Linked DNA regions of Caenorhabditis elegans. The protein of the gene in region 1 purifies or fractionates together with the protein of each later gene. This does not show direct contact. Each region holds a gene or a part of one and is shown on either strand. Other genes may lie near its edges.

The links.
Region 2: the proteins of etfr-1 (region 1) and fbxa-170 fractionate together in Caenorhabditis elegans (co-fractionation; one large-scale study listed by BioGRID). This does not show direct contact.

What each region holds. Positions count from the first base shown.
Region 1 is NC_003283.11:11,107,035-11,111,669, reverse strand, and holds etfr-1 (LYR motif-containing protein 5), read left to right. Parts: upstream 1-1,922; 5' UTR 1,923-1,924; coding exon 1,925-2,044; intron 2,045-2,121; coding exon 2,122-2,231; intron 2,232-2,316; coding exon of another isoform or gene 2,317-2,435; intron 2,436-3,981; coding exon 3,982-4,051; 3' UTR 4,052-4,135; downstream 4,136-4,635. Other genes in the region: erfa-3 (Tr-type G domain-containing protein), read left to right, coding at 1-566, 1,016-1,222; cdkl-1 (cyclin-dependent kinase), read right to left, coding at 4,394-4,534, 4,581-4,635.
Region 2 is NC_003284.9:1,675,450-1,679,917, reverse strand, and holds fbxa-170 (F-box domain-containing protein), read left to right. Parts: upstream 1-1,796; 5' UTR 1,797-1,810; coding exon 1,811-2,007; intron 2,008-2,060; coding exon 2,061-2,141; intron 2,142-2,192; coding exon 2,193-2,904; intron 2,905-3,178; coding exon 3,179-3,421; 3' UTR 3,422-3,713; downstream 3,714-4,468.

The DNA.
Region 1 (4,635 bases):
TCACGCCGTTTCTTAGAAAGCTTGGGTTCAATCCAAAGACTGATATCACTTATGTTCCATGTTCGGGGCTAACTGGAGCCTTCATCAAGGATAGACCGACGGGATCCGAAGGAAACTGGTATTCAGGTCCGTGTTTCATCGAATTTATTGATGTGCTTCTCCCATCCTACAAACGTGATTTCAATGGACCTGTCCGGTGCACTGTTGCTGAAAAATATTCTGAAATGGGAACTGTCATTATCGGAAAGATGGAATCGGGATGTGTGCAAAAAGGAGATACACTTGTTGTTATGCCAAACAAACAGCCTGTTCAGGTGCTTCAGATTTGGGCGGATGATGTGGAGACTGAACGTGTCGTCGCTGGAGATAATATCAAATTCAAGCTGAAGGGAATTGAAGAAAACGAATTGCAAGGAGGATTCATTATTTGCTCACCAGATTCTCTTGCTAAAACTGGCCGCGTTTTCGATGCTGAAGTCCTTGTCCTCGAGCACAGATCAATTATTGCATCCGGATATTCATGTGTATTGCATATTCAATCAGCTGTCGAAGAAGTCACTGTGAAGGTATGTCTTTTGAGACCCGAAGAACTCGGGGGATGCCCAATTGGGGGGATTACCAACTCGGGGGATTGGCCCCGCCCACAGAACCGTGGCTTGCAATACGCCCATTTCTGCAACTGCCGCACGGTTATAAAATTATTTTTTCTTGTTATTTCTCGCTCTAATGAGAAAAATACAGGTTTAAAACCGTGCGGCAGTTGCAGAAATGGGCGTATTGCAAGCCACGGTTCTGTGGGCGGGGCCAATCCCCCGAGTTGGTAATCCCCCCAATTGGACAACCCCCGAGTTCTTCGGGTCTCTGTCTTTTAATTTTCTGATTTTTGCCGAGATCCCGAAATTTCAAATCATTTTTCTACTTTCATGTGACATTTTTTTCACTTTTACAAGAAACGTTAAAAATGAGACTGTTGCTTTTCTCGTAAGTATTTTTTCCAAATAAAATACATTTTCAGGGAGTCATTGCCACAATTGACAAGAAAACGGGCGAAAAGAAGCGTGCTAAGTTTGTGAAACAAGACGAGAAGTGCATTATGAGACTAGAAAGTCCTGAACCATTCGTACTCGAGCCATTCAAAGAGTATCCATACCTTGGAAGATTCACCCTCAGAGATGAAGGAAAAACAATCGCTATCGGAAAGGTCCTCAAAGTTGTCGAGTAATTTCATTGATAAATTAGTCATTTCTATTCTAAAAATTGTTTTTTTTTCTGATTTCAGCCGGTCCGTTTTCTGTCCCTCCCACATGTCGCTTTTCACTATTTTTCTTTTAGATTCCACATGTTTCCATTGGGAAGATTGTTGAATCTAATGTTACCAATCCTATTTCTAATAGAAATTACCTGAATTCATTTTCCCTTCCACTATCCATAAAGCAAAATTCTATTCGTATTCCATTTTCCCTTCATATATTATTCAGAATTTAAATCTTTGTTCATTGTTTTCTCTATTTATTCGATTAATTTGATTTGATTCATTCAATATTCATAATATGAATGGGGTGTTTGTTTTAAACTTTGGACTATACTGTAATACGAATAATCAAAAAAGGAAAATAACCTGATGATATACCCACATATGATTCGCCGTTTGTAAAATACTTATGGCCACCAATATTACAGACGCATTTTGTAAATCGCGAATTTCGCTGCGGGACCACTAACATTTTAGCAGTATTTTGGTAATCGCGATTCTCGGTGGTCGCAATTTGCAAAATATTTGCGATTTTGCAAGTATTTTACTATATCGCTGGTGCCTCTCGTAGAAGTGTGCGAACTACATTTCATAAGTATTTTAAAAACCGCGAAACACCTGTGCCTACTCTTTGCTTGAATTGCACAGATTTGATCAGATAATATTTGAGGAATGTCATTGAGAAGCAGAGTAATTGACTTGTACAAAAACTTGTACCATATGGGGAAGGAATACCCTGGTGGATCGAAATGGTTCCACGATCGGCTCAAATTGGCGTTTTCTAAAAATAAAGTAAGCGAACGAAAATAATTTTGATTGAATCGTTGCTGAAATTAGAAATTCTATAACAGAATTCACAATAATTACAGGAGGTTCAAGATTCAAAACAAGTGGAGCAACTCATTGCTCGAGGAGAGTTTGTTGTTAAAGAAATTGAAGCACTTTACTCGCTCAGAAAGTATCGTGCGATGAAACAAAGGTCAGTTCTACTATCAATGATGTCCTGAAAAGTGATACATCGCTTTAAAGGTACATTATGTCTCTCTGATGCGGCACCCGATCACCAGACCCGGGCCTTCATTCCGAGATGACAAACTTTTTAGTGGCAAAGGTTCTTTGGGGGCATAGTATCCAAGGAGACAAAGTATCCAGTAGACAAACTGGGGTGTATCTTGGGGGGCATATCTTTGGTGACAACCTTTTTTTCAACTAGATTTTTATATGTATTTTTCAACTAATTTTTTTTCACATTTTTCTGGAATAAGTTTTTTAATGCAATTTTCAATCGATTTTCGGTTATACATAATTCCCTTACAATTTATACATAATTCCCTTACAATAAATGTATGAACGATGGTCTTTTGGGAAAAGCTGTAAAACGTCCAACTAACTTGAAATATCGTGAGGCTCTTCCTGATGGTCTGATCCTTCAGCTCCGAAGGATCACATGGGTACCTTCTGATGTTCTGATCCTTCAGATAAGAAGGATCGTAAGGGTACCTCCTGATGGTCTGATCCTTCAGCTCCAAAGGATCACGAGGCTTTTCCTGATGTTCTGATCCTTCAGCTCCGAAGGATCACATGGGTACCTTCTGATGTTCTGATCCTTCAGATAAGAAGGATCGTAAGGGTACCTCCTGATGGTCTGATCCTTCAGCTCCAAAGGATCACGAGGCTTTTCCTGATGTTCTGATCCTTCAGCTCCGAAGGATCACATGGGTACCTTCTGATGTTCTGATCCTTCAGATAAGAAGGATCGTAAGGGTACCTCCTGATGGTCTGATCCTTCAGCTCCAAAGGATCACGAGGCTTTTCCTGATGTTCTGATCCTTCAGCTCCGAAGGATCACATGGGTACCTTCTGATGTTCTGATCCTTCAGATAAGAAGGATCGTAAGGGTACCTCCTGATGGTCTGATCCTTCAGCTCCAAAAGAACATGAGGATCAGAAAATCAGGAGGTACCCATGTGATCATTCGGCTCTGAAAGATCAGATCATCAGGCAGAGCCTCATGTTCTTTTGGAGCTGAAGGATCAGAACATCAGGAAGAGCCTCATGATCCTTTGGAGCTGAAGTATCAGACCATCAGGAGGTACCCTTACGATTCTTCTTATCTGAAGGATCAGAACATCAGAACGAGCCTCATGATCCTTTGGAGCTGAAGTATCAGACCATCAGGAGGTACCCTTACGATTCTTCTTATCTGAAGGATCAGAACATCAGAAGGTACCCATGTGATCCTTCGGAGCTGAAGGATCAGACCATCAGGAAGAGCCTCACGATATTTCAAGTTAGTTGGACGTTTTACAGCTTTTCCCAAAAGACCATCGTTCATACATTCAATTGTAAGGGAATTATAACCGAAAATCGATTGAAAATTGCATTAAAAAACTTATTCCAGAAAAATGTGAAAAAAAATTAGTTGAAAAATACATATAAAAATCTAGTTGAAAAAAAGGTTGTCACCAAAGATATGCCCCCCAAGATACACCCCAGTTTGTCTACTGGATACTTTGTCTCCTTGGATACTATGCCCCCAAAGAACCTTTGCCACTAAAAAGTTTGTCATCTCGGAATGAAGGCCCCAGACCCGGGTCTCGTCACGATCTCACAAGAAATGCCAAGTTTCACAAAATCGCTCATGAGAGCTCGAAGTTAGATTATATTAAACAACTTGCGTCAAATTCAATATTTCATTTTTCACAATATCTTTATTGAAAATGTTTCAGATACTACGACAAAGACGAAGAAGTTTCCATTGCCACCCAAAAGTTCGAGGATTCTGTCAAAAAACTGTGAATAGATTTTAAATTATCGTTGTATTCATATTAAAGAAACATGTACCCCACGAGTATCATTTAGTGAAATAAAAATATTATTATGATCTCTATTATTTACTCGTGAAAATGTTGAACGTCATTTTAAAGGTGCAAGCTGTTCCCTCACTGGGTCTCCCCACGATCTCCGGCATATTGATTCATGCTCTTCCCAAATTTCACAAATTCGCTATATATTTTTCTGAAAATTTATGAGGCTGAATTATATAAAAGTGCGTACAAGAATAGGTAAGATGTTCTATTGATTCCAGCAATAAGTTTTATCATAATGAACAATATGACCATGAAACTAGTGAACAAAATTTTAAGAAATTGTTGGAAGAAAATTTCGATTAATGCCGTTCCCATTGTTATTGTTATTCCCATGATTTCCTCCTTGCAAACTGAAATTTTTTGAAACCAAATTGTTCGAATTTCCATTCAGAAGTGGTAGGTAGTTGGGGCTCTATAATAAATTTCATATTTTAAAGAACTAATGTGAAATAACTAACTCTTTTTGAAGTGAGCCCAGTTGGTGTACTCTCATCCTGTCGTATCCGTAATATC
Region 2 (4,468 bases), on another chromosome or scaffold:
AACCATTGAAATCCGAGTGGAATTTGAACTTAAAACAAACAAAAAAAAAAATTGAATAGGAGTGTGCGGCTGACTGATTTTTTCGGCTTTCAGCTGGTACAGCGAGCTCTGCTAAAATTTTTACTATCCTATAAATTTTCTATCAGACGAAAATTTGTCGGTCGGCTGTCGGTTGGCTTTACCAGCAATTCCAATTTATCAACTGAGTAACTGTCATTTTTTGACAACTTTCAAACTTTTTTTGTGAAAAGTTTTACATTATTATATTCGGTCATTCTGGCACCATTCGTGTGGTTTTGAACACTTTATTAACTACAACTTTAAACATTTAAAATCGTTTTCCAATGAGTTGAAAACTCAACACTCTCCAAATTGAAACTAAAACTTTCACAGGGTGGTCCATAATTATGGCGACCACTTTGGGGCACTGTAACTTTTTTTTGGACAGCGAGCAAAAGAAGTGAATATACACATTTTATTGGTTAGAAAAAAACAAACTTAACGACATATAATACTTGATAGTTATCACCACCTACATCCGCACAGAACACAAGACACTCAAAAATCCGAATGGCCGTAGCGCACAAGTAGGCTCGATTTAGCTTATTGGTGATTTTTAAATGAGATACTTTGAGTGATTTATTATTTTGATTATATATTAAGAATACCCTTGATACAACAAAGCTTTTCACAAATAATTTTTGAGATTGGTGTCCGGTGACGGAAGTGGCATCTTGTGAAAATTGATAAAGTCAAGAAAAGCAAGCTCCCCCAAGTTTTGTGATTTTTCTTCCTTACCAACGCTCATTCATGTTGAAAATGCGAATGTGTCCAGTTTTAATTTGTCTTAGCTTAAAATGATAATTTGGTTTTCAATATTTCGATATATTCCACAGAATACAGAATGTTTGGGCAATTTTTTTTGCAACGGACTGTTTGCACTGTTATTAGAGGGCAAAAAACGACCTAAATCCGAACATAAGTTGGCTCAAAATATGTCTATCGTCTCGGATTTTGCTATTTTGAGTGTCGGAAGTCTTGATAATTATTTAAAACATAGAAACTAGTTGCTTGATCCTATGAGCGCAGCAGGAGACGTCGGGCGCTAGACCTCCTATAAAATGGAGGAAAATTATAGACTACCGATGTTGTAAGGCTCTCACTACTTTCAAAGTTGAAGCATGTTGTATGGAAATTGACGTGAACGACAGTAAATATTGTGAACTTTTTTTAAATAATCAAATTTTAAAACTTTCGTAACAGGGTAACCCCAGAAATCAAGTTCTTGCACGCGTGTAGCAGGTCGCCATAATTATGGACCACCCTGTATATTTCGAAAAATGAAAAATTACAAACCGATACTCCTCATTCAAACAAATCCAGACAAATAATCATTGTTTCTGAAAACTATTGGATCATGACCGTTCATCGTGGCCGCGGCCGAGTAAATGCGCATGTGCGCTCTATTGAACAGACCGCGGTGCGCCATCCTACATTCACAGCGGCAAGTGTTCTGGTGTCCACGCATTCTCTTCCCTTGTTTCGCAATCGATTTGCATTTGTATTTTTACAAGTATTTTTCTCCATTTTTCTCCTTTTTAATCAAAATTTTCATTTGTTTTTGGGCGATGATTCTTCATCCAATCTTCTTTGTTTTTGCTCTTTTTAAAAAGTTGTTTTTTTTTCATACTTTTGAAATACTTAATTGTATGGAATCTCATTATCTGCTCGTTTCTTAGTAACTCTAATTATTAAAATAATTCCCAGTTTACTGTTATTCAATTGTATTGTTTTTCAGACAATTCCTCAAATGTCGGCTTCTTTGCGCAAAAACGACCAAATCATTCGAGCATGCATTCTCTACGAAGCACTCGATAAGACTCGACTTTCAAAGGCCTATGAGAACTTCTGTAGGAAGGTTGGAAAGGACGCTATTCCACAAGAGGAGTTCGACTACTGGTACTATCATTTCTCCAACGTGAATGATAATTTGGACCATGATAAAAGGTAAAAATTGGTTTAAACATCAACCTAAAATTATAAATTTTTAAATCTTTCAGTCTCGATTCAAAATCGACTATGTATGCTCTCCCACTCAATATGATTCATTTCATCGTCGACAGGGTTGATTTCATTGACACGTAAGAGAGTTTTGAAAAAAAGTTGAATAAATAATAAAATATGAATTGCAGATTGGCTCTCGCAAAAGTATGCACAGGGTTCCGCGATGTCGTGAGAATCCCGGAAGTTGATCTCGAGGATTTTAACATCATTCACAATTATTCGGTTAATGGTTCGGATGAAAATAATTTTTCAAGGATCGAGTACGACGGATACAAAATCACTTACCAACCGGTAAATGGAGGATGCAAAGTTTCCTGTGTCGATCAGTATGACGACACAGAGCCGAAGTTGGAACCATCGAATAAATTCATTCAAGGAGGCGATGCCGTTCAGTTGTGCCACAATGACTTGAAATTGGTGTTGGAAAACCGAAGAGTGATACTGCAGAGTCTCATTATCGATTTCAGTATCGAGGAAAAAGATTTGTACACGAAATGCTTCACGGATATCACTAAGATGCTCAAGTCAACGAGAAGCATTGAGGTAGAAGACTTCGATGCACTTCAAGTATCGATCAGCGATTATGCCTCACTATTGGAGATCTTCCCTGCTGGAAAATTGGAATCACTCAATATCGATCCCTACACTTTCGATCGCGCGGAACTTGAAACCCTCGAGCATTGTGAGCATCTTTCAAGCATGGACCAATGGAAGATGGCTGAGAGGTTTTTTGGTAGAGGCTTCAGTTTGGATGTCCCAATTGGAAGCTTCTTCCATTTTAAATTATTCGACGTCGTGCTACGGGAGTTCACCGAAGAAGACGCTGTGAAACTTCGAGACGTGAGTTTATGTGAATATTGAAGATGATGTAGAAGGGATTGGGATTTCGCTTCAAGAAATCCAAAATTGTCTATAATTCAGAAATATTTACTAAAGAAAAAATTGAAAAAAAAAACGAGAAATGATGACAAATCCCAATTTTTGAACTTCCTCCAAAATAAGTAGACATGCCCAGTTTCCAATCAACCAACTTCTTCAGTTTTAGACTTCTTAGAAGTGCGCCACTTCACATTAAAAGGCAAAGTTCCCAGATTTGCAAAAGTCTTATTTTCAGATGATTGATGAATCTTCCGATTTCATAAGCGCTGATATCACTAGCAGAGTCATGGACCTACCAAGTGTTGCGAATGTTTTTGGACTTATCTTTGTCGCTAATGAAGAGGAAGACGAGCAAGCATTTGATTATTTCACTCCAGCCAATGCGAAGTTCACGGTTACTTTTGGAAAAAATGATGAGCCTGATGAAGACGATCCAGTTGACAAGTTCTCGATCAAAAAACGTTCCAATTCCGATTAAAATTGAATACTATCTTTACATGTAAATATTTGTATATAATTGTTTCATTTGTGAATGTAATATATTACAATGGCGATTAAAATCAAATTTTATCGTTATATGTGAATATTTGTATAGAATCATTTTGTTTGTAGATAATGTATTTAATGTCAACCTATATTGAGTATATTGTTATTTAGAGCCCCTTCCTTCCACTAACTCTAACTGAAAAATCTCACATTCCCCCGTTTAGAAGTTTTGCTCATTCTAATTTTCATTTTCCAGTGTTATATGATAAATGGTTGTGCATTGCAGTTCTCTTGGAAACAAGCAGATTTCCATTTGTCAGAAACTTCAGTTTGGAGTAAGTAATCGATATTCACTGGTGCTCAACTCGTGGTCTTCTGCCATAGTCGTAAAAGGTGCAAGGTACTATCTAATTAGAAAGGTGAACATGCACCTACAAACGGTTGTGAACAACAATAAAAAGAGCTGGTGGCATGACTTGGGAAGCCTGAAGTTCAACGCAGAAAAAACTATATAAGAATATCAAAATGTTTGACTGAATTGGCCATATTCAACAAAAAACATGAATTTTTCAGAAAAAAAGACGACAAAAATGTTCAATATTTAACTATCCAACAAAGCGGAAAGTCATACATAGTTTGGATGTAAAAATTATAATAATTGAAATCATGTTCAGACAAGATAACTGGCCAACTCGGATCATGTCTTTTTCGGTCACCCTAATATTAAAGTTAAACTTTACATGAAATTTTATCAGTTCACACAGATATACACTCGTTTCACACTTCAGAAGCACTCCTCAAATCGGCGCCGCTTCTCAACTAACTTTAGCCATTTTCTAAATGCCATTTACAGAAGTGGCAAAAGTTGGTTAAAGTTGGTCAATTTTAGCAGTGTTTTGACGCTTTTAACACCTGACTTGATGAGAGTTGGCAAAAATTGGCCAAAGTTGGTTAAGAAGTGCTCAAAGTTTGTTGGAAAGTGGTTGAAATCTAATGGCAGTCAAAAAGTGGCTAAAGTTGGTTGAGAAGTGACTACGAG